Macaca mulatta: one gene and its partners. The protein of the gene in region 1 interacts with the protein of each later gene in a pairwise test. Links are inferred from orthologs where the notes say so. Each region holds a gene or a part of one and is shown in the gene's direction. Other genes may lie near its edges.

Region 1 (4,199 bases):
CTACTTAAAATATTTTATACTTTTTGTTTTGTATTGTTTGAGACATAAACTTGCTCTGTGGCCCAGGCTGTATGTAGTGCAGTAGCGCGATCTCGCTCACTGCAACCTGCGCCCCCCAGGTTCAAGCGATTTTCCTGCCTCAGCCTCCAGAATAGCCGGGATTACAGGCGCCTGCCACCACACCTGTCTGATTTTTGTATTTTTAGTAGAGACGGGGTTTCACTATGTTGGCCAGGCTGGTCTCGGACTCCTGACTGCAAGTGATCCGCCGCGCCAGCAAAAGCGTTTTACTCTTATCTGTACTCATTTACACATTCAATATTTATAGAGTGCCTACTATCACCAAGCACCTTTGTAGGCCTAGGTTTACAGAAATAAGGCTCCCCCTCCCCCATCCCAGTCCCCTGAAGGGCACTATAATTTCTATTTCTCCAGTTTTCAATTTAATATATATGAATTTTCACACGCTTCAGTTCAGTGGTTCTCATAGTGTGGTCCCCGAACCAGCACCAACAGCAGCAGCAACTGGGAGACTTGTTAGAAACGCAGTCTTAGGCCCGCTCCACACTCTAGGGATGGGCACAGGAGTGTGTGTGTGTGTGGTGTGTGTGTGTGACAGAGAGTGTGTGTGTGTCAAGCTCGGTATTAAATAGGTCAAAGATCAACATCTGACTTGTAAACCCACCCTCAGGCCTCTCCACCGAGTACCTGTCTCAAACCCAATCTGATCCAACAATAACCAGCCTTAATTCGATAATCTGTGCTACCTGAGATGATGGGAATAATCGTGGTACTATAAATGTTGCAGAACAAAAACGACTGCAGTGGATTTTCTGGGGCTACACCAACTGAAAATGGGCCGGACCGAGATCCGCGAGAGCGTTTTCCTGCGCTAGACACGGCGTTCAGCCTCCGGGTTCCGGGTCTAGCTGAGTCAGGGCGGCGTTCCAGCCGAGTGCGGCTTCGGGAACCCGTTCGGCTGCGCGCGAACCTTCGGTCAGAGGCCAGCGCTGGAAGCCCCGACCACAGCACCTGGGTTTAAACAGGAGCGGAGGCGCCGGGTAGGACCGGGCGGGCAGGCTACGGCCGGCCACCTTGGAAGCCGCGCCCTAGCGGCCCCAGACGCCGGCAGGGCGGAGCCACGCGGCCGCAGCCCCAGCCGAGACGCGAGCTCGTGGCTCGGGCGTATGGGGGCTACAACGGGAGCGGCTGCGCCGCCCGGCCGGGTCAGCGTCGTGCGCATGCGCCGACCCGGCGCCATTTTGGTGGCCGGGCGCGGAGGTGATTCCACACTGAGGCGAGCGCGGCGGCCGGGGTGGTAGTGGCAGTGTTCGTGTGCTCGGGTCTGAATCGCCGGGGGAGGAGGCGGTGGAGGAAGAGGTGGCGGCGGTGGCGGTGGTCGTAGCGGTGGCGGAGGAGGCGGGTACGAATCAGCTGCGGGCGGAGACATGGCCAACATCGCGGTGCAGCGAATCAAGCGGGAGTTCAAGGAGGTGCTGAAGAGCGAGGAGGTCAGAAATGAACTCCCGGATATCCCCCATCTCTGCCTGGAGCGGGAGGGTCCTCCCAGCTGCGACCCCGATATCCTCGGTAGTCCCTGGGTGGCCCTCCTTGCGGCCGCCCTTCTGCCTGTGAGGAAGCAGCAGTGTTCCCCTCCTCCTTCCGCCGCCTTCCCCTCCCCTCCCAGAGCGCTAGGATGAACGGTCTCGCGGGCGGGTGGTCTGGGGTGGAACACGGTTTGGGGAGCTGATGGACAGGGGGGAGCTCCTCGGAGGGATGGAAGCTCACGAGAGAACCCGAGGCGGTGGCCACAGCTGGAAATGTGGCTGTGGGGTGGGGAGGGAGCAGGCCGAGCCTGAGAAAACCCGGGAAGTGGGTTGGGGGAAGGGGAAAGGTGGTAACTGGATACGAAGAGCAGTGCTGCTCAAAGGCCCACACTTTTGAGGGTATTTGGGGTTATTGCTTGTCAGGCCTTCACTGTTCTTTTCGTAGGGGAGGAGCGGTGAGTCCAAAGGTATTGATTAGAAAGGAAGGACATTCAGAGTTAGTCCTTCTTAGTTGGGTGTTAGGAGTCAAAGGGAGACATAATAGAATACTGTCTTATTTGGTGGCGGGGGTAAGGGAATTTTCACCTGAGTTAGCAAGTTATTCCAAACGAGATAATTATGTCTTCCACTTAACCCCCAAATTCGTAGGCCTCATTTTTATTGACATCACAATCTTTTTTGAGTGGGCAAAGGCGAGGTGTTTGGTGTATTAAAGACATGTAAATATTTTTAGTTAGGAAAAAAATAATGGGTTGTATGAGTAGTTTATTTCAAAATATTGTTTACAAGTTACCGATCAGACTGTCCTAAGACAGTGCCTCTGTGACTCGTGTTGTGCCACGAAACTTCATTATGATGTCCCTCATAGGTAACTTGATTCTTACTTTTGAAAAGTAGACCTATTAAAAATGTGAGATTTCACCAGATTAATACATTATTTCATCTCCTTATTGAGTAGATTTATCACGACTTAACAGATTTTCAAAAAAATTGCCTGCCATTGCTCTTAAGTTCTGCAGAATTTATATACATTAGTACTACGTTTATGTAAGATATTCACAATGCTCTAGTAATTTGACTCAAAATTATGCAAGTATTAGTACAGTGTGTCGTACCAAGATGAACAAGAATGCCAGATTGTCTTCCCCACATGAATTAAACAAAAAGTAATACAGAAAATGATTATTTTCAAGATTCACATACCATTATTGAATATATCATTGCTATTTTTGTTTTTCTTTTACGGTTAGTACTTTGATAGTGTCAATAATGATTTGTGAAATTCAGCATTCTAAATATGTGATGAGTATACATGGAGAAAAATTATTTAAAATTCAAAAATGACAACAGACTTATTGAAAGTAGTAGTATGTAAGTCATGATCGGTTTTACAGAGCATGTGTATGAACTCTGACCTCTGTGTTCATATGCCAAAACTCTGAATGGAAGGATGACTTTGTATTTTGTGGTACAGCGCAGAAATAGAGTCAATAAGTGTCTGTACTGATACAGTGAAACAGCAATTTTAACTTATTTAATATGAAAATGTATTCCAGGTTAGCTGACATACATACTCCTAATGAAAGATAGCAGCTAATATTGTTGCCAACAACCTAAAACATTTCTTGTTTAATAAGGTTGTACAAGCCTGAAACTTAATAGACTTTTAGTGCTTTATTTTCTGTTACAAGTGGTAAGTTACTGCTTTGGTAATTAATATGGTCTCTTTGCTTTTTATGAGCTCACTTTTCACTGTGAGATTCGTAGTACTTAAGTTGAAGATTACCAGAAATACTTGTATTGCTCTCTAGTAATGCATATTGTTAAAACAAACAAACAAACAAACAAAAAAACACTGCTCTTTATACATAAGGGATGAGGAAGCCTTACTTCAGATAAGCATCAAAAGTGTTTCAGAAGAAGAAAACAGGAAATGCAGACAGGTTTTTTGTTTGTTTTGTGTTGTTTAGAACAGTACCTGTATAAATATGGAAGGAAACTTCTTTTGGGAAAATCAGTTGCAAAGAACATTTAGGAAAGAGTCACATCATTTAATCTTGCAATAAATATAACCAATAAATAGCTTATTTTCGCCAGTATTTTTTGATATTTTAGTAGCCCCAGTTCTATAAGTGGATTATTTTCAACTCATTGAAGACTTGTAGTATAGTCCGTGTGTTTCCTTTTTAAGGGTGTAAATCCAGTCTTTTGAATGGCTGATCAAATAAATATTTCATCATGTCACTTTTTTGGTAAATCTGCACTTTACCAAAATTTATTTCATGTGCTTGTATGCTTGCGTTTACTAAGAACACTGGTTGATTTAAGGACTTTTTGGGGTGGCCTTGTAAGTGCCTTTGTAAAGATAGCTGACGCTTACTGGATTCTGGTTATGAGAGATTATAAGTGACCATTCTTAGAGTGTGTTAATTAAAATACAGCCAACAAGATAAATGTGAAAAGCAAGATGCAGAATAGTGTGGAAGAAGCCACCATTTGTGTTAAAAAGAGGGGAATATGTGTATTTGTCTTTATAGGCAAAAGGTTTCACAAGAAATTGGTAAAATTGATTGCTTTCTGTGTAGAAAAATTGGGTCTCTGGGGCATGGGGTATAGATATTTTTTTAATTTTGTGTCATACGAATGTGATTT
Region 2 (4,108 bases), on another chromosome or scaffold:
GGGGTTACACCCGCCACGACGCCCGGCTAATTTTTTTGTATTTTTAGTAGAGACGGGGTTTCACCGTGTTAGCCAGGATGGTCTCGATCTCCTGACCTCATGATCCGCCCACCTTGGCCTCCCAAAGTGCTGGGATTACAGGCGTAAGCCACCGCGCCAGGCCTTTTTTTTTTTTTTTCTTGGAGACGGAGTCTCCCTCTGTCACCCGGGCTGGAGTGCAAGGCTTGAGCGTGGCTCACTGCAACCTCCACCATCCTGGATCAAGCGATTCTCCTGCCTCAGCCTCCCGAGTAGCTGGGATTACAGGTGTGCGCCACCACACCGGGCTAATTTTTGTATTTTTAGCGGAGAAGGAGTTTCACCATGTTGGCCAGGCTGGTCTTGAACTCCTGACCTCAGGTAATCCACCCGCCTCGGCCTTCCAAAGTGCTGGGATTACAGGCATGAGCCACCGCGCCTGGCCAAAATCATTTGTTTGCTGAACGATGTGAAGAATATGAGTGAACAAAAAAAGTACTGAAAAAGATGAGTTGATGGCAAAGGGAGGGAATTAATGTTTAGTGCACACTTAAGTGGCGAGTAATGTTCAGAGCATTATATAAACTGTCTCATTTAATCTAACAAGAACCTTTTGAGGTCAATACGTTTTCCCAATTTATAGAGGAGGAAACTAAGATTTATAAGGATCTCATGAATCAGAGAACTCTTAAGTGGCATCACTGGACTTTCGAAAGGAAGTCTGCCTGATGGACTCTAAGGCTCATCCTCTGTCTATCCTCCTAATGCATATAATGACGCATTTGTTATCTACTGACTTTTATAAAATAAACAAGGAGGCTTATGCGATTGTACAGCCCGAGTTCGCAGGAGGTATCTGTTACCACTTTTGATCTGATTCCGGAAGCATTAACAGTGAGGTGCCCTGATCTTTATGTAATTAGCGCATATGATATGGGTATCATTTGTTGTGAAAGACACTAACTCATGATGTTTCTGTTTACGTGTATCTGTAAATATAGTAATTTCTGTAGTTGGTTAATTTTTAGTTACGAAAAAATGAACCAAGATGTAGTCAAGATTTGGCTTAAATGTTGAACGCATAATTACCAAAGAAAATTAAATAATGAGCTTTGTGACACCTTTCAGTTTCGCCAACAGACTGATAAAACCAGTACAAAGGGGGAGGGTCGGGACCGAGGGGGCGGGACGGTGAGAAACGGGAATCGAGCAAGCGCAGAAACAAACAGATGTTAATGGAGGCGTGAAGGCTACTGCGCTCTCACTTTCCGAACTGTCGTAAAGGCCCCTAGTGTCGTGCTCTCCTCGGTAGGGGAGGAATTGGTTAGGCGGCGGCGGCGGCGGTAGGGGAGCAGCGGCAGTGGCGGCGACGGCGAGGAGGTGTTCGGTCTGCGCAGCGTAGAAACGCCCGCAGCTTCAGAGAAGGAGTTCTTGTGGGACCAAATTAGGCATTCTGAACCCACGCCGGCTTAGCTGGGCCGAGTCCAGGCGCTGCCGCACGTACAGTTTTGGTGGCGGTGACAGACACTGCTCTTGACTCTAGGGGCCTGTTAGGCCGACGTCTGAGGCGCAGATCGCTGGCTCTCGACGCATTACTCTTTACGCCTTACATTTCTGTCTTCCTTCCTGGGTCAGTGATTCCCGGACCCTGGAAGAGAAGAGGGTGGCTAATGATTAAGGTGAGGGGAACAGGGGGGAGGGGATCCATTGGAGGCCGCGCGTGCGCGCAACGGGGGAGGGGCCGGCCTGGAGGGGAGAAAGAGGAAGGGCTGCGGCCGCGGAAGGCTGGGGTCGGCGACCGGCCGGTTATCTCTGGCTCAGTGGTGATTTAGGGTCTGGGTCTCCGCAGACGATTTGTGTTTGGGCAAGGCTTTCGTCTACCGACACACCCACAGCCTACATTGAGGAAGTGTGGGTGAGGGGATTTCTCTCCCTCTTCCGACTCTCCCTAGAGTCTCAGGATGGGGGCTGAGGACCGAGGCGTAGGAGTGCGATTTGACAATGGAGTGATGAAGGTAACCCGGACCCGGGGAGTTGGGGGGCGCTAAGTCAGCCCTGACGGCTAGGGAGCCGCCTGCTGCTGCTGTGATCAAGGAAACGTAGTCCGCGGAACAGCTGAAATACAGACGCGTCTGATTTTGTATGGAGTTGTCTTGTTGGTCATTTAAAAAGAAGCTGAATGTTTTTACTATTGTCCTTAGATAATTTATCAGAGACAGTGTCAGTGCTGTAGTGGGAATATCTGTTCAGTGCAGCAGAAATAGATTTGTCACAACAGTTCTTAAATAGGTTATAGTAGATGTTTACAGAGGGTATTTCTCAACCCAAGTGTAAGTTTTGATTATTCAAAAAATACCAGGAAGTATAGGGTATTGATTTAATTTGTTCATGTGTATAGTGTGGGGTGACTCCATTGTATTGTTGTAAGCTTTCCTGTTTTTTGATTTATGTGCGGCATTAATTTAGAATTCTCTTGAATGGTAAGATGCCAACTGACATAGACTACGTTTTGTAGGAGTTCCTGTAGCTTTTGAACCTGACAATCTAAACTTTATTTCATTTGGTATTTTATTTATAATTTTCTTGTTTTAGAGGCCTCTTCAACTAAAAAGAACAAACTGGGAAAAGATAAGCTAAGGTTCCATTTCCTTTCTCATTTTTGTTTTTTTTTGTGTGTGTGTGTGTGATGCTTGTAAATGCTTGAATGTGATTTTGAGATTACCATACACAAGTTCTGTAACACTGGACTTAGCTTTATTACAGTAAAGATACACCTTTTGATCGTTTGTTACTGTATGTATTTTTGTAAAAATCTTCATGTCAATATAAGCCACATTGTTTCACCCTAGTCTGGTTATGTTTGTGAGGTAAAACAGATGGATAAGAAGGAGGTCCTTTTACTTTTAAAATAATTTTATGTTGATTTTTTTTTAAAGCCTTGATATTTATCTTATTTTGGACACTTTCTTGCCATTTAACCTTGGACAAATGACTATCATCTCTCTCCTGCTCATTTGTTTGTGACCAAAGATTCACAATAGTATTCTAAGAATTGATGAGGGTGTTTGTAAATTGGTCTAAATAATATTATAGGAAAAAGTAGGAAGAGTGAGTCTCCCCTTGTTTATCACGAGTGCTATATCATGTGCAGATCCTTCTGTCACTTTTTAACTTTGTTTGGTGTCTGTTGGCCACATGTTTGCTAGTTATTTCACCTGACATAGAATTGGTTTTTAAAGAAAGATATAAACAAAGTGACTCCATTTTGGTGAAAAATGCATTACAAAAGAGGTTACACCTTAACGAATTTCACTGTGGTACTCCGTTTCTACAGATTATTGAGAGAGAGCTATTCTGATGTTTAAGAGAACAGCACCTTGCTTGTATAAAGCTAAGGTATAGTCATTTAGCAGATACTCCTAGTTATTTTACTTTAAAATAAAAAATATAAAAGAAACTAATTGAATCAAACCGTTTAGATTTTTAGATGCTTTTGTTGTTGTTGTTGTTATAGTTTAAAGAGGGGTTTCTGTATTATGCTTTTCTTGAGGCATACTTATGTGCCCTTCTTTTGCCTTTTTCTCCCCTTTTGGGCTAAGACTTCAGTAGGAAATAAAAGAGACTATCTGAAAAATGATAGAAGTTAAAATATGTTATAACCTGACATTAACATTCTATGGGTAACATTATCTTATGAAATAATATAGGACTAGAGACAGAAGATCTCGATTTTAGATCTATCTTTGCTTGCTATACATTAGATCCCCGAGTTTATTGTTAACCCTCCTTGGGCTTCAGGTCTCTCTGTTTAAGTGAGAATTGTAGAATAGATAACTGGTTTTCTCTAGGTCCCAAATCTAACGGTTTGTATATCTAGTTAGGTTTTTGGTATTCGTTGTTTTATTCGTCGTAATCAAATCCCCGGAAAGAAATGCTGTACAGAAAGCATCAATTTCCTCATGAAATGTGTGTGTGTAAAACCTATGATGAAACTGAGGGCCAGGTGTGGTGGCTGACCCCTGTAATCCCAGCATTTTGGGAGGCCAAGGCGAGTGGATCACTTGAGGTCAGGAGTTCGAGACCACACTGG
Region 3 (4,111 bases), on another chromosome or scaffold:
GCGTGAGCCACTGCCCCGGCTTGGTTTGTTTTTTGAGACAGGGTCTCGCTCCGTCGCACAGGATGGAGTGCAGTAGCGCGATCTTGGCTCCTGTGCTCAAGTGATCCTCCCACCTCAGCCTCCCAAAGTGCTGAAATTACAGGCGTGAGCCACGGTACCCGGCCTATATCTCCTAATTAAAAGTAAAGCCTGGGGTAAACTGGATGAAGTTTACGGCCTGTTAAATACATACATGTATTATATGCGTTATTATATCCCATGTGTTACATTATATATTATTGTATATGTGTATTATATACTATGTACTATTCTTACAACTGTATGCAAATCTATAATTACCTCAAAGTAAAGTTTTGTTTTTGTTTTTTAAAGTAAGTTCTGTGAGAACTGGGATTTTGTTTGCTTGTTGACAGTTGTGTCTCCATCACCAGAACTGAGTCTGGCGTGCAGTGGGCACGAAATAAGTCTTCGAAAAAAGTGTGAATTAATGCCCGGCTAATTTTTGCATTGTTAGCAGAGACGGGGTTTCATCATGTTGGCCAGGCTGGTCTCGAACTCCTGACCTCAAGCGATCCACCTGCCTCGGCCTACCCAAAGTGTTGGAATTACAGGCGTGAGCCACCGCGCCCGGCTGATCACATTTAAAGGGCGGGATGGGGAGAGTACAAACAACAGAGGAAATCCTGAGCCGCAGAGGAAACTGGAGACGGCAGGGTTTAGCACTAGAATATCTGTAAGAGAGGTAGGATCGGAATCTGAATCTCCAGAACTCTTTCCACTACCCAGGCTCTCTCTCCATTAATGGACTATTGATTGGACGACAGAGTAATGATAGCACCGTCTTAGGAGACGTCCAATCATAGGTCATAGTTCAATCTTTGCAGCTTATTGTGATTACAACAGTGGAGGATGGTCCTTACAAGCGGCTGTTCTCTGATTACCATTAAGCATGGCCACGCCCGCACTTAACTTCTGACAGTGGGGAAAGAGGCTGTGTGTGACAGCTTGGAAGGTTTACTACTGCCTCAAGTCCTCTTCTCTGCAGTTGAGGTTTCAGGTTTCAATCCTCCCAATACCACAAGACAAAGCACCTGGCGGCTGCCGCCTCCGCCTCCGCGCCTTAACCTAGGCGGTTTGCCGAAGATTTCAGCCCCGCGGCCGCGCACTCGCCCTGCCCTAGACCAGGGTTGGGCGCATCGGCGGAGGTTGCTTCTTGGCTGCGCGAGCTGCGCGCGCTGGGAGGCGGCGATCGCAGCTGGGCCGGGACTTCCTTCCTCCACCGCACGACAACAAAACAACCCTGCAGCAGGCACTGAGTGCTTGGCAGCTGTCTGGGCGAGAGGCACAGCGATGGGCTCCGTGCTGAGCAGCGACAGCGGCAAATCGGCTCCCCCCTCTGCCACCCCGCGGGCCCTGGAGCGCAGGGGGGACCCGCAGTTGCCCGTCACGTCCTTCGATTGCGCCGTGTGCCTTGAGGTGTTACACCAGCCTGTCCGGACCCGCTGTGGCCACGTGTAAGTGCCAGGGGAGCTCGGTTTGGGCCCACCCCTAAGGAGGGCGATGTCGGGAAGCTGAGGGCATGGTGTGGGGAAGGAGGGGGACGGAAGACAGCGCCTTAGGAAACTGCTGCAGAGAGAAACCTGGACCCGTCGGGTGCGGGGCCACGGGGAAAACGCCGGTCGGAAGGTGACACAGGATTTCGGGAGGAGAAAAAAGAAACAATCGGGCCCTGCAGCCCCCTTGCGCTGCCTCCTCCCGAAGTCCAGGTGCGGAGCTCCAGAGAAGGGGATCCAGGCACGGGTCCCGCCCAGAGCCAGGGCTCGCCAACAGGGGAGGGTGCTCTTGGCTGGAGAACGAGCGCTCGCCCGGGCACGAAAAAGAAACGAGCTCCAACTGCAAGGCAGGGGCTCCCTCAAAGCGCAGGTACCCCGCTGAACACGGTGGAACAGGCTGCGCTTCCCTCTGCCCCAGAAACCCGGGTCCGTTTTGTTTTGCTGGAGCTGTGCACGTGTTCCCAGAATGCCCACAGAGGCTCGTCTTAAGCAAACAAGGGTCTGTGCAAAGTGTTTTTCCACCCCCACCCCTGCTACCCTTTCCCAACACAGACACCCATCCCCTCAAAGAGCAAGTCAAACTGGAGCTTCCGAGTGACTTTCCACAAGTCGTTAGAGTTTAACAACCTGCTAGGGTGGGGCTTGGACGTTAGCCGCAAGCCCCTGAATGTACTCCTCCAAAACCCAGCCACAACGTGACAGGAGGTGGCAGACTACCTGCTTTACACGCCGTCTCTCCAAACCGGCAGAAATTACAGAGTAAAATAACTTTCTCAAAACGGCATAGTACTTAGCTAAAACTCACAGTTGGTGCAAAGCCGTGGTCGTTTCTAAGAAGAGTTTAAAAACAAAGTTCCTATATAAAATTGGCACATGCTTAATGTGTGCTTGAGTAACTGGTGGAGTTGGATCTGTGAATTCGTGCTCTCTGTTTACTTTGTGTGTGTGTGTGTGTGTGTGTGTGTGTGTGTGTGTGTGTGTGTGTGTATGAGAGAGAGAGATAGAGAGATAGTCTGACTCTGTCGCCCAGGCTGGAGTGCGGTGGCGGTGGCAGGATCTCGGCTTACTGCAACCTCCACCCACTGCAACCTCTGTCTCCCCGCCTCAAGTGATCCTCCTGCCTCAGCCTCCCGAGTTGCTGGGATTACAGGCGCCCACGACCACACCCTACTAGTTTTTGAATTTTGAGTAGAGATGGGGTTTCACCATGTTGGCCAGGCTGGTCTTGAACTCCTGACCTCAATTGATCCACCCACCTCGGCCTTCCAAAGTGTTGGGATTAAAGGTGTGAGACACTGCACCCAGCCTTCTCTCTTTGGTTTGAATTTTGTTCGTGGATGTGTGTGTGTGTGTGTGTCTGCACGGATCAGAAGCGGAAGCCTACTTAATGTCCTTTGAAGGGTGACTATAGTATGATGAAGCCCTGTGTGATACCACAGTGGCATGTACTTGTATTTGGCTTAGCAGGAAGAAAGAAATGCATTTGGCTTAGCAGGAAGAAAGAAATAGCATTATTGCTTCTGAGGATCACTTTTGAAAGGATTTAGGTAGTCCTTAAAAACATGTTGTGCACTTGCATTCAGAAGTTTTGAGGCCGGGCATGGTGGCTCACACCTGGAATCCTTAGGTGATACTTAATACCTATAGCCTTGTATCTGAAAAGCAGTTTTCACCACTGCCCACCTGTGAGCCAGGGAAAAAAGTGTGCAGCCTGCACAATGTATAAATAAAGAGTGCTTTGGGCATTATTTCGTAGCTGTATTTTCGAGGCCTGTTGTTTCAGCTTTGTTCTTAAAACTCGAGGCTTAAATTTACCCTCCTTTCTGATTACTAATATTGTTGCTCAGCTGTCCAGATGTAGCTCATTAACGTAATATCCACAGGCCAATCTGGAAGCCAAGATGGGCTGTGTGAGTCATAAAATATATTGATTATTTTAGGGCAATAACAGCCTAAAGATACCTCCATTTAAATTGAATCATTATTAGCATTAAAACTTTGAAGTTGTGCAAAACATAAACAGTGGGCATTTTGAAGATTCTTTTTGGAATAGACCGCTTTGCTGCTAATTCAATTATCTGACTGGAGATTGTTTTCCTGTTTTGGACTTTGAATAGTATAACTTACCATTTACAATATTTTTCCTTCTACTAAAGGATAATGTAAGTTTGCAAAATGTTAAATTTTTTGTTTAATCTTTTTCTTTGTTAAAGTGAATAGGAAACTAGCAACTGGAAAAATAACCATAAAATAGCATTACAAGGGCTGAACAAATTGCCTTTCCTCTCTTTACTGTTCTTTGTTTTGACAAATCTATGTCCATTGTTCTAGCTGTGGGCAGAATTTCCATATTCCTCCTTTTGGCAAACTTACTTGGGCCCCTTCCACTTTATAAATGTTAACCAGAGTCTTTTCTGCTGTAGAGATTATGAGCGTTGTTAATGCCATTTGTACATTCTAAATGAATTACTCTTTTCCATTGAAATTAAGTTGGAAAATGAATAAATGCAAATGAACCTTCTGTATTTTATTATCCCATATTGAAGCTACAGTTTCAG
Region 4 (3,500 bases), about 120 Mb from region 1:
TTGTGGAGAACTGCCTAGACAAAAGAAAGAGGGGTTTGGACTCCTGGGGCAGTAATTTTTGGAATGTATGGTAGATAAGGTTTGTTTAGTAAGATCATTTTGCAAGATCATCTCCATGCAGTCTTCAGTGTTTAAGAGACTTCTCTTCCTGGCTCCGGAGAGAGAGGCACCTTTACAAATGGACATTTCCTTTACAAAAGAGAAATTTATGCCCCGCTTTTAGGCAGATGGGGAAGGGCAGAGAGGTCCTCTTCTGTCTGTTCTTTCTATATAGCTTTCAGCTCAAAATAATCCTTATATCAAAGTGACATATTTTGGTGTGACACAGTCCAACCTCTTCAACTACAATAGTTGGAAAAACATATTCAATTTTAATAAGAATACAAAAGGTAAATATATGTTTAAATATGGTCATGGCTAAAGGCATAAGCAGACATAGCTATATAAAGTATTTATCCCCTAAGTCACCACTGCTTTGAAACCTAGCAAACATACCTCTTTGTACAACACGCCATCTTTTGTTTTGTTTGCGTGGCGAACATGTGAGGATTTTATTGATTTACAAAACAAACAACAGGGAGCTCACTGTACTCCTGTAGCAATAAAGGTTGGCTTATTGGTCATTTTGAGGTCACTAACGTTGACTTCTACCTTAATTTATAACACAATGCTTACGGTGAAAGAGCCAGTAATTGACTTGTTCATACAGATCATTATATATTTTTCTGTTTTGATTTTCTGTCTGACAGCAGCAGCGTGCAGGGTCAAAGACAGCCGGCCCCCCATGTCAGTGGTCTAGGATGGCCAGTGAAGGCACCAACATCCCAAGTCCTGTGGTGCGCCAGATTGACAAGCAGTTTCTGATTTGCAGTATATGCCTGGAACGGTACAAGAATCCCAAGGTTCTCCCCTGTCTGCACACTTTCTGCGAGAGGTAAGCCTCCTTTGTGCTTGGAGAAGGGAGTTTCACAGGCTGACCTCCTACAACCTACTGCAAGATTCTTTCCCAGAATCTACAGTTACCTTTGAGAGAAAACTAATCTCTTGTGCCTTTGCCAGACATTGAAAAACGGAATCATGAGTTGCAAATAATTTACTTTATTTCAAACCATTATAAGCAGGAGAAAGCAATCTAGTAACTACTGATTCATTTACACAAGAGATGGAGCATTAAATAAGAATGTTAAGTTGAAAAATCTTTTAAAACTTCCCTTTGTTCTTTGTGAAACAGTTTTTGTCCACAGCAGATCCCTACAGAGGGTCTTTGAGAGTCAATTAAAAAAATCTATCGTTTCCTCCCATATAACAAATCAGGTAAAACATCTGCATATATGAGTGGTTACTTCAAAGGGTATAGCTTCTTTTCCAAAGATTCTTCAGACACATATTAATGTCACATTTGAATGCTATGATGTTTTAGATAAAGAAAAATATATATATATATTAAATAAATTACCTGACTATGTAATTTGTTATATGTGAAAACAGACTTCCTTATTTATCTTCTTGATAGAGTATTTGCTTTTGGAGAGGGGCGTTAATCAGTTATCAAAATATACTTTTACTCCATTATTTAACTTACTATGTAAGTATAAGTTTGTTAGTAATTAGTTTATCTTACTTATAAGTATTTCCCTAGTGAAGTTATATATCTTTCTTAAAAATAAATATGGTAATTATGTTTTATAGCATTTTGTTAAATACATTTTTATCATTATTTAATATACATACTGAAAATGCTTTACTTCCTATGATAGAACTGGAAATCGGTATTTCAAATGGCTTCAAATCTATGCTGATTACCCAAATATCTGATTTAACATGTCTTTATTATCTGACTGACCATTGTTAGAGTTGATTTACTCTGCAAGGTTCAATTGCAAAAGAATAACCATATCCTTCATGGTGGTGATGGATGGAAGGAGAAGGTAGATTTGTTACTAGTAGTTGTGGCTTTTTGTTTGTTTGGGGTTGTGTGGGGTTTTGTGTGTGTGCGTGTGCTTGCATATATGGGTTTTAGTTTGTTTTAGTGGTGGTATATAGAGCACTTTTTATTTTATTCATTTTATACTTTGGCTTAAGTGCTTGGTAATTCATATTCCAAAAATAATTAGAGTGTGATTCCTCCATCCCCTTAATAGGTACACCTAAAACATGAATACCAGCTAATCGTTCATATGTCCCTGGGCACACATGATAAGATGGTTTCCTGACGTGCAGCAGTCAGCATAGCTTGGCAGACACTCTCCATAGAAGTGCGTTCAGAGCCACTCAGTCTGAGCTTGGCAGAATTGCCCCATATCCCAGGATTCAGTGTCCAGCCTATGTATTGTTTGGGTCCTACTCCCTCACCCTGACAGGTGAGAAGCAACACTCTGGCTGCCCTAGGTCTGCCCCTGCTATCTTCTTCAGGGGTCTAGCCCAACCTACTCCCACTCCCCATCCAATAGCTAGTGGTGGAGATTTGCGAGATCCTGCTACAGCAAGTCCTTACAGAATGCTCTGTGTTAAAATTGTTCCAGCCTCATGCATGTTGAGATGATTTCCTCTTCTTTTATATTTTATTTTATTTATTTATTATTTATTTACTTATTTTGAGACACGATCTCACTCTGTCACTCAGTCTAGAGTGCAGTGGCACAATCACAGTTCACTGCAGCCTCAATTTCCCAGGCTCCAGAGATCTTCCCACCTCACCTTCTTGAGTAGTTGGGACCACAGGTGCACACCACCATGCCTGACTATAGAGACAGGGCTTCTCCATGTTGCCTAGGCTGGTCTCAAACTCCTGAGCTCAAGCAATCCAACTGCCTCGGCCTCCCAAAGTGTTGGGCTTACAGGTGTGAGCCACTGCGTCCAGCTGAGAAGATTTCTGTTTGAAGGTGTTGAAGGTGCTGGCAACTTTCCTTAAAATTTTTGAGACAGAGTCTTGCTCTGTCACCAGGCCAGAGTGCAGTGGCATGATCTCAGCTCACTGCAACTTCCGCCTCCTGGGTTCAAGTGATTCTCTTGCCTCAGCCTTCCGAGTAGCTGGGACTACAGGCATACGCAACCATGCCCAGCTAATTTTTGTATTTTTAGTAGATACGGGGTTTCACTATGTTGGCCAGGACGGTCTCGATCTCTTGACCTCGTGATCTGCCCACATCAGCCTCCCAAAGTACAAGGATTACAGGCATAAGCCACTGCGCCTGGTGAGGAAATTTTTGTTTATGCTGAGACAAAACTTTACAGCTTGTCTCACTGTTGGGAGAGTGAGCTCTAGGACCCCCATGTTCAGCCTCTGCTGGACATTCACACTGGCTACTCAGTGAGCAACTTACAGCCACTCTCTTATCCCACATCTTCCAAAACAGCATCAACGGGCTTGAAGGAGAGCAAAGCCAGACACAGCTGCTGGCCCCTTGGAACTCACAGCCTAGTGGAGGAGCCAGTCATTAACATCCTAATTGCTCAGACTAATGTGAAATTAAACCAGTGACAGTTGCTATACATGAGAA
Region 5 (4,079 bases), on another chromosome or scaffold:
CAGCCTGGGAGATAGAGTGAGTACCTGTCTCAAAAAAACAAACAAAAAAAGAATAAAAATAAAACACTTAAATTAGTGAATAACCTTGGTGAAAATCCACGTCCATGCTTCTACAGCATTTCTCTTCAAAGCTAAAAAAAAAAAGAAAAAATCAAAAATCAACCCAAAGGTGTGGGTAGAAGACTCCATCTGCGACCGTATTTAAGCATCAGTCATGCCGTTAAAGGAGAAAGTGGACATCCTCTCAAGGAAACTTTAATCCTGTCCCCAAAGGATTAAAATCCTATAACAAATATTTGTTTATAACACATCTTGACAAGATCAAAACATTCTGGTGGGGCAAATAGTAAAGACTAAATCTTGAACATTGACGAAAACTTCCTGAAAAGCCCAATGTATTTGACAGGAGAGGTGGCTGGGGTCCCGGGCCTAGGGAGGCAGGGCGGGGAGGCGCAGGTGTCACCGCGGGCGCCCAGCTGCTTATGTCACAACCCGCAGAAGGTGCCACGCGCCGGTTGCTATAGAGGCCGCGCTTCACACCCCGTCCCAGCTCCCAGGCGCTCCCGCGTTCGGTGACGGCCGAGTAGGCTGTAGGCAGCGCGATGCCAAGAGAGAGCTGCTGGCGGGGGCGGGCGAATCTCCCTACACCATGAGCCTCGGGTCCGGCCCCGTTTGGGGCCGATAAGCACAGCGCAGGCCGCCCTCCATTTGCCCCGGGGCCTCGGCTGCGAAGGTAGTGGCGGCCGGACAGGAAGCCCGAGGAAAGCGCAGGGCCGCGTCTCTACGAACACGTGAAGGAAAAGCAGCTCCGTCCACAGCACCGCTTCGGGGCTCCTAGGTGAGGGTCCCCCCGGCGGAAGCGTGGAGGGGCCGGGGTGCCGGGAAGCGAGGCGGGGAGGAAGTCGCGGACACGACCTGGGGGCTCGGGGCTCGGGGTCGGGGTGAGGAGAAGAGCGGGAAAACGGTGAAAAGGAAGACCTTGGGCGAAGACGACGGCTGAGGGCGGAGCGACAGCCCGCGCCTGGAGCTCGGTGAGGGCGTGGCCTGGGGCGTGAGGCCGCGGCCTGGGGGCGAGCCGGGCGGGCCCACGGCACGCTGCAAGCCCAGCCTCCCGCCAAGCACCGCCCCCATCCAGCCCCTGTGGGAGGAGCCGTGGGAGGGGTCGCCTCTTGCCCGGCGCGTGCGGCAGTCGCGTCTCTGCGTTCGGCCCCGCCCTACCCAGGGCCCCGCCCCCTTCCTGGAGCGCGCCGCATCCTGACGCGATCCCCCTCCCCCCTCCGGGTTCGCGTAGGGAGTCGGGCCCCGGGCCGCCACCGTCACCTCGGCCGCTGCCGCTGTCGCCATCGCCTTGTTTCCCCATCCCCCGCCATGGCCGAGGACCTCTCCGCGGCCACGTCCTACACCGAAGATGATTTCTACTGCCCCGTCTGTCAGGAGGTGCTCAAAACGCCCGTGCGGACCGCGGCCTGTCAGCACGTGTGAGTAGACGCCCCCTCCCCCGCGCGGAGCCGGGTTGTTGCTTAGGCCCGGCCTCCGGCCCGGGACCCCCGGCTGCCGCCTGGCGGGAACCGAGCCCGCCGCGGCCTGCTCGAGCGTCGCTGCCCCCCGAGGTCCCGTTCCCTGCCCCTCAGAGCCCCGGGCCGCCCTCCTCCTTAGCCTCGGGGCCCGCTCTGCGCGTCCTGCCCCCTCAGCCCGAGCTCCCGCTCTCCCGCTCTCCCTGGCTTTCGCGCCCCCGGGGCAGTGGCCAGGCCGTTCCCTGCGGCGTCTTCAGGCCCCGGAGGCCCCTGTAGTCTCCGCCAGGCCCGGGAGGAATTGCAGGGAACTTGGAGCCTTTTTGTTTCTTAGCAACCCGGGTGAAGGTTGGGGTGTCGAGTGTCAAAAGCGGCCGGCGGTGCCCACGCGGGCCCGCTCGCCCCGCGACCTGCCCAGCTTTCAAGTTTCCTCTTTCAGAACCTTGGTGCGTCCCCTCGGTCCAAGAGCTCTTCTGTAACTTCCCCTCAACCCTGCTTCACAGAACACCCTCCAGAGCGTTTTGTTTCGTTTCCAGTCCACTGTGTGTTAGAGGGATCTAGAATGAGTTTTCTTCTCTGGTCTGTGAAAACCGACAGGATTTTCGGGCATGGAAGTGAGCGTTCCCCTTTGTTTTACCTTTCTGCTTATTACTTGATTAATACAAGGGTGGAGAGGAGAAAGGCAGACTTCTGTTACGAGGAATGGGCCGAAAGTGAAATGCTCCCCAGGGTGGGGGAGAGCACAAAGGGGTTGGGTGAGATAACGCGTGCGTTTGATTGGCAGGCATATTTACAAGAACTTTGATAAGATTTTATGGACGGCTAGGGTGTGAGTAAGGGTTGGAAAGCGCCCTTCTTGAAAAGGTGTATAGCCCTTCTGACAGACCTGACTGATGATCAGAGTCCCCCGGGAGCTTTTTAAGTAAACATACCAATTCCCAGGCTCCATTCCAAACTTACAAAAGAATTTTTGGGCAGGTGGGGCCTGGAAATCTTTATTTTTAAAAAATACACTCAGGCTTGAAAGTTACGTGTGCTTGCAAACAACCGAAAAGAATTGACTAACCTTCTAAATGTATTTCATTCTCTTTCCACTTTTTTTTTTTTTTTTTGAGGTAAGGCTCTATAATTTTGTAAAGGATGGATTGAATTTTTGGGTCTTAATTGCAAATGCCCTTACTCTGGTTGTTTTCTTGATACCAACTCTTCTCATTTTGTTCCCCAATCTTAACTGCACTGTCTACTTTATTTCTATTTTGTGCTGGTTGTGTGAGCCAAGAGTGTGTGGATTTTCATGATAGAGATTATGCCAGTTACGCTTTCGCTCTTTAAGGGAGATGAATGACATCTTATTATTTTGTGCAACAAATGCAGATTCTTAGAGAAATGTTTTGAGGGATCCTTTTGTAGTTCATAATGTGATGATTGAGTGTTCACAGGCATGTGTGAGATGTGCCACCCTCAAACCTTGTTACAAGGTCAACACATTACCCATTTGACATGAAAAAAAAGGTTTGGAGGTGTCTAGGGCACAATATAGATCTTTCACCTTTAATCTAGCATAACTTGGTCCCTTTCCAATATATAAAAAAATTTAAGTGCTGTGTTGGCAGTGGGTAGATAAAAGGGAGGGAGGAGGGCAAGGTGAGAGGAAGTTGTAATAGCTGCTAACTGTATATATACAAAGCAGGTATTTTTTTTAGATAGAATCATTCTAATTATCCTTTGGGTCATTGACCTCATGGGCCTCATTGTAATTTCTTAGCACTCCCCAAAATTCCGTGTAGATTGCTCTAGTCCACTTCCCTTGTGGGACATTTTAAATCAAGGACTATAATTTGGTTTGACCTCAAGACTGTGGAAAATGTTGGAGATGATTGTATTTAATTCAGGACCTTTCTCAAATCAACTCATTATGCTTAGACAGTTCTGCCTGAACAATGAATTAAAGAATAGGCAGAGGGAGAAAAAAGTTTAATTTGGAAGAGGTGGTAATGGAGGAACAGGATCTTAATCAGTTGGAGTTTAGTGGGGGAATTGGAGAGAATTTTTAAAAATTATTATTTTTTCGAGACATGGTCTTGCTCTGTTGTCCAGGGTGGAGTGCAGTGGTGTGATCACGTTTCATTGCAGCCTTGACTTCCCCCGTTCAAGCAACCATCCCGCCTCAGCCTCTCAAGTTGCTGGGACTACAGGAGCATGCCACCATGCCTGGCTAATTTTGTTTTCTTTTTTATAGAGACAGGGCCTCACTATGTTGCCCAGTCAGGTCTTGAACTCCCAGGCTGAAGTCATTCTCTGCCTTGGCCTCCTGCCGTGGCCTCCCAAAGTGCTGGGATTACAGGCATGAGACATGGCGCCTGACCTATTTTTTAAGTAACATAGTTATCTATGTCATTTACCCTGCCTTCTTCACAAAGGACAGACCTGTGCCTTTAAAGAAATTTATATTTGGCTACAAAATCAATTTTTGATTCATGAATAGAGAGTTGAAATGATAAGGACTTTGGGTTACTGTGGATCAGTTAGAAAATGAAAAATTTTAATTGCCATTTCAATGACAGTACA
Region 6 (4,123 bases), on another chromosome or scaffold:
TCTAGATGTGGGATAGAAAAGGGGTCCTTTCATTCTAGATTCCAGGGAATGGGGCTGGGGTGAGGCTCAGACTTGGAACTCACCGGCCATCCGCAGTCATGCGGATAAGAGCCACTTCGGCTGGTGTTCCCACAAAGGCACCAGTGGCACCTGCCGTCATGCCAATCAGAGCCTTCAGCAGAAAGCCAGGGGGAGTACCATCAGCCCCAGTCAAGCGCTCAAACAACACGGTATAGATGCCAAGGCGGGTAGTGGTGTAGGTGGCCTGGCGCAGCAGGCCAGCCGACAGCCTGAGGAGCAGAGGGGTCAGCATATCAGGCCAAGGTCTGGAGCTACCAACCCACAGCCTACCCTCCATCCTGAGGCCCCAATACCCGGTGTAAATGCCCCTCAGGCCTTCTGCCTTCAGGATACTGGTGAGGGCATGGAAGCTGGTTTTGTACTCTCGAGTCTTGGCCCCTTCCCCACTCAGCTGCATCCGGTTCTTCACCAGGTCCAGGGGCTGGACAAAAACTGTAGCTCCCATCCTGGGGGAAGATAGAGGTGGAGTGAAGGGATTCACTATTCCAGATCTACCAGTGCCCACTGGAGCCTGGCAGCAAGAGGTTACAAAGGTCAGGGCCTGCCATGCGATTCAAGAATCAGGATGCTGGTGAGCATGTGTATAAGAGTCTATATGTACACCGAGTGCAACGGGTCTGAAAAGTCTAGTTGTCCAGTCGGGGCCATGCAATGCAAGTGCTCCAAGCAGCTTCATGACAGTCAAGCAGTGACCTGGGGCTGCACGCAGTCCGACACAGGGAGGGGACGAAGGGGCATCCAAGATTTAGGACTCCAGGTAGTCCTCCAGGAGCCATTTAATGGCCTGGAATCCCCTGTAGCCCGGCCAAGCTTAGCAATGCGCTGGGAAACTCAGGTGGCCCGGCGGGGATTGTGCAACGACCCCGCATGCAGTCCAGAAGGGGCCTTGCATGGGGCCCTAGCAGCCCATTGGGGAACTCGTAATACGCTGGAGATCACGCTGACCCCGTGCCGGCACAGTTCACTGCAACAGACCCAGAGATGAACCGGGCCCGGTTCCTTGCACCCGTCCCTTCCTCCTCTTTTCCCATCCCTGGGGCCTGAGCTTACCCGGCCAGGCCCCCAAACAGGAACTTGATGGACTTAGGGGAGGTACGGGGCTTCCCGTCCATCCCGCCGGCCCCGGCACTCGCCGTCGCCGCCATCGCCACTCAATGGCCCTCGGCTCCGGGTCCCGTGCGCGCGCGGCCCCGCTCGCGCCCAAGGTGACACCGCGCGCGCAACAGGGCGAGGGCGCGCGCACGCCCCTCCGGCTCTCAGGTCCGGCACCCGCTGGAAGCCAGCGCGGGCGCAGGCGCGCAGCGCAAAGGCGGCCGGGAGTAAGGCGGAGCTGAAGGAGGAGCTTGAGGGAAGCGTGCGAGAAGGGGTGTAACTGATTTAGGAAACCAGAGGAAAGGCGCAGTTTTCACCAAATTGGAATCGCGGGAAAATAGAGATGAGTTTGTCTCAAGGTCTCGCGAGATCGAGTGAGTACGGCTCACCAGAGTAGGAGAGCTCTCGCGATAGACACACCAAGCGTTCAGCAGCGAGGGGACGGGGGAGGTGGGGAGCACTCTCGCGAGATTTGAAGGAGCGGTGGCGGCGGCCAGCGGGAGGAGAGGTTTGTAAACTAGGTGGCTCCAGGTTTCCGGGCACCTTTATTAGGTCGTCTTCTGGGCCACCAGTGCTCCTTCCATCTCCACAGGCACTCCCTCCATCGCTGACCTTTCTTTAACTGGCCTTTTAGGACCGAAAGTTCTTCATCTCAAGCATCAAATGCTGAAAGCGGCCTGACTTTCTCTACCGGAAGCCCTTTTCCAGAGGCTGGGAACACGGCCCACCTGGCAGGAAGTCCCACCTCCTTGAGCTCCGCCACCCTTCCCGAAGTTTTTCTGTCACCTGTGTTAGGCTCCGTCCCCTTTCCCGGTTTTATCCCCGTACCAGAAAAGGATACATTTAGTGCCTCTCACCCAGCTCCACTAAACGGGTTGGATATCTCATTCTTTGAGTCGGGGTTCCTTCCCCGGCGCCTCCATGTAGCTGGGAAGTGGGACCTGGGGGTGGTTGGACCCCTGGGATCCTAAAGGAGGGGCAGGGAGGGCGCAGAACTCCGCTTCTGCTCCTTGCTACCAGGACGAGCGGCCTCCTCAGCCTCTTTCCTCCCGCTGCCATGCACCCTGCAGCCTTCCCGCTTCCTGTGGTTGTGGCCGCTGTGCTGTGGGGAGCGGCCCCCATCCGGGGGCTCATTCGAGCGGTGAGTCCGAGGGACGGAGGAGGCAAGGGCGCTGAAGGGAAGGGTTGCAGGCTGAAGGGGAACATTGCCTTTTTTGTCCGCAGACCTCGGACCACAATGCCAGCATGGACTTTGCAGACCTCCCAGCTCTGTTTGGGGCTACCTTGAGCCAAGAGGGACTCCAGGTGATTTTCTTTCTTTTCTTTCTTCCTCTCCTTCCCCCCCTTTCCTTCCTTTTCTGTCTTTTTTCTTTTTTTAATATTTAGCAAGATCTTCCATCCTGGGCTGGGGTTGGGGAGGTTTGTCCTGGGTGAAACTGGAGGTAGGAAAATCAAGTTAGGAACTGAGCACGTATAGTGTAGAATCCAGAATCCAGAGGGAGAAGACAAAGTGTCCACCCCTGGAACTCCGAGGTTATCAGGGAGACTGAAAGTGGACAGAGACGGAAGGTAGGATCAACGGTCCTTATCAAGAGGGTCTCAGAAGCTGTTGCTTGTATGACCTTGGGCAAGTTAATTTCTCTTTGAGCCTTAGTTTGTTTTACTGTAAAATGGGATATTTTAAGTTTTCCTAGGGTTATTGTGAAGATTAAATTAGATACGCAATTTTTGTAGTACTTCATCCCAAAGACTGCCACATAGCAAGAACTCAGTTGGGCCGTAGTAGCAGTGGAGTTGTTTGTGAGATGGGTAATTAGAAAATTGAAGAGGCCGGGCGCGGTGACTCACATCTGTAATCCCAGTTCAAGACCAGCCTGGCTAACATAGTGAAACCCTATCTCTACTAAAATTACAAACATTAGCTGTGCATGATGGTGCATGACTGTAGTCCCAACTACTTGGGAGACTGAGGGAGGAGAATCACCTGAACCCGGGAGGTGGAGGTTGCAGTGAGTCGAGATCGCACCACTGCACTCCAGCCTGGGTGGCAGAACGAGACTCCATCTCAAAAAAAGAAAAAGAAAATTGAAGGGAAGGGAGTGTGTTCTGTGTAAGTATTGGAGAGGAAACTGTGAAACAGAACTTGAGAGTCAGAACATTAGAAGGCAAAGTAATTGCATTAGCTTGCGGTTTAGGGTACAGATTAGCCCATCTGGGACAGCGAGAGGGATGATGGGAGAGTTTGGTGAAGGGATGTTTTATGTCATTACCTTTTCAAGAGGCTAAGAGAAAGTTGTGAGGTTGCGATGCTCAGACCCCAGGAAGGAGAAGGAAGTGAGGATAGAGGATGTGCAGCATGTGGGCTGGTGTGTTTGGTGGCCCTTGTAGGAGTGAAACCTAGGGAGGAGAAATCTCACTGTTGTTTGCTTCCATCCTTCAGGGGTTCCTTGTGGAGGCTCACCCAGACAATGCCTGCAGCCCCATTGCCCCACCACCCCCAGCCCCGGTCAATGGGTCAGTCTTTATTGCGCTGCTTCGAAGATTCGACTGCAACTTTGACCTCAAGGTTGCTGAATGTGGAGTGGGAGCTGGGCAGCTGAGGGTAAAAAAAGGCACCAGGAATGAAGACAAGTCAGGCCTATGATGGCTCCTTGTCCTCTGCCTTGTCTTCCTAGGTCCTAAATGCCCAGAAGGCTGGATATGGTGCCGCTGTAGTACACAATGTGAATTCCAATGAACTTCTGAACATGGTGTGGAACAGTGGTAAGGCTGGAGGAATCTATACAGCTGGGCTTTCAGTAGGACCCAGAGATGGTGGGAAGGCTGAAGGCTTCAGGAAAAGAAGCCAATCCTTTAGGTGGGTTGGGGCGAAAGTGCCAGATGCCAGGGTTCCCAAAGGATTTGAGTAGAAGGTTGTGAGTCCCCAGAGTAACACCTTGATCCCTGCAGA
Region 7 (4,223 bases), on another chromosome or scaffold:
ATTCCATTGTATAGATATATTATTATTATTAAACTGCTGGTCCCCCTATTTATGGACATTAAAGAGTTACCTATCTTTTGCCATTGTAAACAAGGCTGTAAAGAACATCTTTGTACACAGGTCACTTCACACAGGGGCTAATATATCAATGGGACAAATCCCTAGAAATGGAACTCCAGAATCAAAAAGCATATGCTGTTGTAATTCTGACAGTACTGCCAAATTGCTCACAGTGAAGACTGACCCATTTCCAGTCTTACCAGCCATGTGCAAAAACCTTATCTCTGTCCTCTCTGCCGCCAGTCATCCCTGCTTGTAAATGTGTCTTCCACACCATTGTCAGCACCATATTTCTAAAATGCATATCTGGCAAGTCATTTTCTTGCTTTCCCTGCTTACAACCCTTCAAGTCATCTTCACTGCTCTTCAAAGCTTTTCACCATCTAAATATGTGCTGTCCAGGGTGGACTATCAGCCTCACGTAGCTACTGAGGCTACATGTGGCCAGTCTGAATCGAGATGTGATGTAAGTGTAAGAAAAACACTGGGTTGCAAAGATGCAGTATGATAAAAAGAATGTAAAAAGCTCATTATGTGCTGAAATGATTAAGTTTTGGATATGTCAAGTTAAATAACATCATTACAATTAATTTCATCCGTTTCTTTATCCTTTAAAAAATATGGCTGCAAAAATTTTAGAATGAACATACTGGCTCACATTGTATCTCTGTTGGACAGTGCCCATCTAGGTAGGCCCTCCCTCCCTCATCCCCTCACCCATCTCCTCTCCTCCCAGGCCCCAGGCCCACTCTGTGCTTCAGACCATAGTGGTCCCTAAGCCTTAGGTGCTTTTCCCCCCAACCCTGTCCTCCCCATCTCGTCGCCACACTCAGTTTATTAAGATGCTGCTTGAAACTTCTCCTTGGAGGCCTTGAAGAAGTTTTGCTCCCTGGTTCACAGGTCCGCCTCCCCTCACCAGCCCTTGACATCAGGGCCTTGCTCTGCTCTTTGGGCAGCAAGAAACAATTCAGTGCTGTTGGTTAAATCAAGCAATGGAGGAGAAAAGCCCCCAGGAGCCTGTCTAAAGGGTAGAGTCGGAGGGAGGGAAGGGGTAACAGGTCACAATTACCAGATGAACACATTCAAATTTTCAAAAATGGGTAAGTTTAACATGGATTCAGATGTGAATTACTTTTTAGCATCAAATAATAGTGATAACAGCAGTAAGAGTTACAAAGAATAAGAAACACAGGAGAAACTTACTTTCTTTGCATAGTCTACTCATAAGGGAGGCCTGGCCCTGGGATCCCGGTCCGCGCCCGCCCCCACTCTCCGCCCCCCCGTACCCCGAGCCTGCAGGAAAGGGGACCCCGAGGGCCCAGGGGCACCGGACCTACCCACCCGGCAGACCACTCGCCTCGGTGCAGACAGCACAGGGAAGAGGGGGAAGCAGCTCTGCTGGGAACAGGGAGGGACCTCCGGGGAAGCGAAACTGAAACTTTGCGCCTAGTCGGCGGGGCGGGCCGCGCCTTTATCCCAGTCCCGGCCCAGCGGCGTCCCGGAGCCCCCGCGCCCTCCCGACGCGCAGAGCCATGGCCTCCGACCTGCGCCCGCCGTCCCCGCTCCTCGTGCGGGTGTCCGGGTCCGGCCTCCGGGTACAACGGAAGCTGGAGAGCTACTTCCAGAGCTCTAAGTCCTCGGGCGGCGGAGAGTGCACGGTCAGGCCCCAGGAACACGAAGCCCCGGGCACCTTCCGGGTGGAGTTCAGTGAAAGGGCAGGTGAGCTTCGGGCGGTCGGGCTGCGAAAGCCGAAAGCCGTCTCTGGGGTCCCGACTCCCGGGTTTCCAGGCGGAGCCAGTTCCAGCTGACCTAGGGGAGAGGGCGGAAGAAAGTATGCCACTGTGCGGTGGCGGACAGGGACGGGGCCCTGCTGCCAAGAGACTCACTGAGACAGGGAACACTCGGTGGAGGACAGGGCCTCACATGTGCCCGGTGCGGATCCGGCTAACCCCGCCTTAGTGTGGATGTTTTCCATATCCTCATTCTAACTTAATTTCTCAGCTGTCATCTTCCATCCTCCAGATGCCTGTCAGCTGCCGTCCTTGTCATTCAGGGATTCCACTTTTATGTTTTAAATAATGGTTCCATTGTTCCATCCATTAACAAAAGGATGTTCCATTTTGTATTTTTGAGGATTACAAAAGTGATATATGCTCACTATAGAAATAAGAGAAAAGAGTAAAAAAGAAAACAACCTGGAGATAAACAATGTGTCCATTTGGTGTATTTTCTTCCTGCCCTTTTTTACGAATGCCAGCAAACACACGTGTATTTACACAATTCGGAGTCTGCACTTTTGATACTTGCTGCTGTAACTTACCTGTATAATGAGTATTGAAATGGGAGACCAGGATGGGTGCGGTGGCTCACGCCTATAATCCTAGCACTTTGGAGGCCGAGGTTGGTGGATCACTTGAGGCCAGGAGTTCAAGACCAGCCTGGCCAACATGGCGAAATTCCGTCTCTACTAAGAATACAAAAATTACCTGAGTGTGGTGGTGTGCACCTGTAATCCAAGCTACTCCGGAGGCTGAGGCAGGAGAATCGCTTGAACTCGGGAGGCAGAGAGTTGCAGTGAGACGAGGTCGCACCATTGCACTCCAGCCTGGGTGACAGAGTGAGACTCCGTCTCAAAAAACAAAACAAAACAAAAAAACAAAAAGGGAGGGAGGGAAATAAAGAAGGAAGGAAGAAAGGGGAGACTGGAGACAGTTTCAGAAACATGACGTTTAATGAGTGGACAATGTTCCATTGTCGTTAAGCTTTCACTTCTATAGTAAAACTTAATCTGCACACTTCAGAACTCTTAATAGCTCCCCAATTTCCTCCATCGCCAACCCACCATTCCGGGGTGCAGTGAGCAGCCTTACTGGGAGGTGCTGGGGCAGGGTACAGACACAGGAATGACAGGATTACTTGAAATCTCTCCCATTTTTATGTATGTATATGTGTGTGTTTAATGTTTCCGCTGAAGCTAAGGAGAGAGTGTTGAAAAAAGGAGAACACCAAATGCTTGTTGACAACGAACCTGTGCCCATTTTCCTGGTACCCACTGAAAATTCAATAAAGAAGAACATGAGACCTCAAATTTCTTCACTGACACAGTCACAAGCAGAAACACCGTCTAGTGATACGCATCAACATGAAGGACATATTCCTAATGCTGTGGATTCCTGTCTCGAAAAGGTGAGTATTGAAAGAAGGAGCTGGCTGTACCTGCGCCTCCTCTCCAGTCACCAGCCTCATGTATTATTGATCCAACACCCATGTGCTGGGCACATACATGGGAGCCAGGCACTGTTTTAGGCACTGGACACAGAGACGAACACAACAGACAAGGTCCCTGCTCTCAGGCGGCTCATATTGGGGCCCAGGGCATGCACAGAAAGACAGTAGGCAAGTGAAATAATTAGAACCATTTTATTTATTTGGAGAGAAACAGGGCTAGGGCGAGCAAAGGGAAGATGGGGGTGGTGTTACTTCTTTTTTCCCCCAACAAGACAGAGTCTCACTTTATCACCTAGGCTGGAGTACAGTGGCATAATCATGGCTCACTGCAGCGTTGACCTCCTGGGCTCGAGCGATCCTCTCACCTCAGCCTCCTGAGTAGCTAGGACTACAGGTGCCACTACACCCAGCCAATTTTTTTTTTTTTTTTGGTAGAAACGGAGTCTCACTATGTTGCCCAGGCTGTTCTCAAACTTCTGGGCTCAAGCGATCTGCCCGCCTTGGCCTCCCAAAGTGCTGGGATTACAGTCATGAATTACTGCGCCTAGCCTGGTGCTACTTCTAACCAGAAATCAGAGACAACTTGACTGAGGAGGTGACGTTTGGCCTGCAACTTGAATGATGACAAGATTCATTCAACAATAGATATCCACTGCTTAATGTGTTCCAGGCACTGTTATAGGAGCTGGGGAGGCAGCCAGGAACATGGCAGACTCTGCTTCTGGGGATGGCACCTTCTAGTGAGAGAAACAGACAATATTAATAAACAAATAGATATATAATAAAATGTCTGCCAGTCATACCTGCTAGAAAGAAGAATAAGAAGAATACGTGACAGACAATGACAGAACCACCATTTAAAATAGGATGTCTGGAAAAACCTCAAGTGAGATGACATCTCTAGCCAAGTGGATTTCTGGGGGGAAAATGTCCTA

Evidence for each region.
Region 2: the proteins of UBE2K (region 1) and RNF111 interact in binary tests that used the Homo sapiens proteins (3 or more experiments, as listed by UniProt). The link is inferred for Macaca mulatta from reciprocal best matches to the Homo sapiens genes UBE2K and RNF111.
Region 3: the proteins of UBE2K (region 1) and RNF125 interact in a two-hybrid assay, tested with the Homo sapiens proteins (2 studies listed by BioGRID and IntAct). The link is inferred for Macaca mulatta from reciprocal best matches to the Homo sapiens genes UBE2K and RNF125.
Region 4: the proteins of UBE2K (region 1) and TRIM2 interact in binary tests that used the Homo sapiens proteins (3 or more experiments, as listed by UniProt). The link is inferred for Macaca mulatta from reciprocal best matches to the Homo sapiens genes UBE2K and TRIM2.
Region 5: the proteins of UBE2K (region 1) and RNF138 interact in binary tests that used the Homo sapiens proteins (3 or more experiments, as listed by UniProt). The link is inferred for Macaca mulatta from reciprocal best matches to the Homo sapiens genes UBE2K and RNF138.
Region 6: the proteins of UBE2K (region 1) and RNF167 interact in binary tests that used the Homo sapiens proteins (3 or more experiments, as listed by UniProt). The link is inferred for Macaca mulatta from reciprocal best matches to the Homo sapiens genes UBE2K and RNF167.
Region 7: the proteins of UBE2K (region 1) and DTX3L interact in binary tests that used the Homo sapiens proteins (3 or more experiments, as listed by UniProt). The link is inferred for Macaca mulatta from reciprocal best matches to the Homo sapiens genes UBE2K and DTX3L.

What each region holds. Positions count from the first base shown.
Region 1 is NC_133410.1:38,909,936-38,914,134, forward strand, and holds the start of UBE2K (ubiquitin-conjugating enzyme E2 K), read left to right. Parts: upstream 1-1,399; 5' UTR 1,400-1,448; coding exon 1,449-1,511; intron 1,512-4,199. UniProt on the Homo sapiens protein: Accepts ubiquitin from the E1 complex and catalyzes its covalent attachment to other proteins. In vitro, in the presence or in the absence of BRCA1-BARD1 E3 ubiquitin-protein ligase complex, catalyzes the synthesis of 'Lys-48'-linked polyubiquitin chains.
Region 2 is NC_133412.1:36,301,860-36,305,967, forward strand, and holds the start of RNF111 (E3 ubiquitin-protein ligase Arkadia), read left to right. Parts: upstream 1-1,308; 5' UTR 1,309-1,697; intron 1,698-1,734; exon of another isoform or gene 1,735-2,033; intron 2,034-4,108. UniProt on the Homo sapiens protein: E3 ubiquitin-protein ligase. Required for mesoderm patterning during embryonic development. Acts as an enhancer of the transcriptional responses of the SMAD2/SMAD3 effectors, which are activated downstream of BMP.
Region 3 is NC_133423.1:60,484,171-60,488,281, reverse strand, and holds the start of RNF125 (E3 ubiquitin-protein ligase RNF125), read left to right. Parts: upstream 1-1,311; 5' UTR 1,312-1,350; coding exon 1,351-1,514; intron 1,515-4,111. UniProt on the Homo sapiens protein: E3 ubiquitin-protein ligase that mediates ubiquitination and subsequent proteasomal degradation of target proteins, such as RIGI, MAVS/IPS1, IFIH1/MDA5, JAK1 and p53/TP53.
Region 4 is NC_133410.1:161,858,927-161,862,426, forward strand, and holds part of TRIM2 (tripartite motif-containing protein 2), read left to right. Parts: intron 1-749; coding exon 750-934; intron 935-3,500. UniProt on the Homo sapiens protein: UBE2D1-dependent E3 ubiquitin-protein ligase that mediates the ubiquitination of NEFL and of phosphorylated BCL2L11. Plays a neuroprotective function. May play a role in neuronal rapid ischemic tolerance.
Region 5 is NC_133423.1:60,411,823-60,415,901, reverse strand, and holds the start of RNF138 (E3 ubiquitin-protein ligase RNF138), read left to right. Parts: upstream 1-1,279; 5' UTR 1,280-1,368; coding exon 1,369-1,478; intron 1,479-2,019; exon of another isoform or gene 2,020-2,125; intron 2,126-2,909; exon of another isoform or gene 2,910-3,012; intron 3,013-4,079. UniProt on the Homo sapiens protein: E3 ubiquitin-protein ligase involved in DNA damage response by promoting DNA resection and homologous recombination.
Region 6 is NC_133421.1:6,490,643-6,494,765, forward strand, and holds the start of RNF167 (E3 ubiquitin-protein ligase RNF167), read left to right. Parts: upstream 1-1,323; 5' UTR 1,324-1,516; coding exon of another isoform or gene 1,517-1,547; intron 1,548-1,632; exon of another isoform or gene 1,633-1,807; 5' UTR 1,808-2,047; intron 2,048-2,094; exon of another isoform or gene 2,095-2,193; 5' UTR 2,194-2,230; coding exon 2,231-2,314; intron 2,315-2,397; coding exon 2,398-2,478; intron 2,479-3,613; coding exon 3,614-3,739; intron 3,740-3,848; coding exon 3,849-3,936; intron 3,937-4,122; coding exon 4,123-4,123. Other genes in the region: SLC25A11 (mitochondrial 2-oxoglutarate/malate carrier protein), read right to left, coding at 84-290, 375-527, 1,132-1,226.
Region 7 is NC_133407.1:161,203,460-161,207,682, reverse strand, and holds the start of DTX3L (E3 ubiquitin-protein ligase DTX3L), read left to right. Parts: upstream 1-1,423; 5' UTR 1,424-1,592; coding exon 1,593-1,779; exon of another isoform or gene 1,780-2,002; intron 2,003-3,034; coding exon 3,035-3,246; intron 3,247-4,223.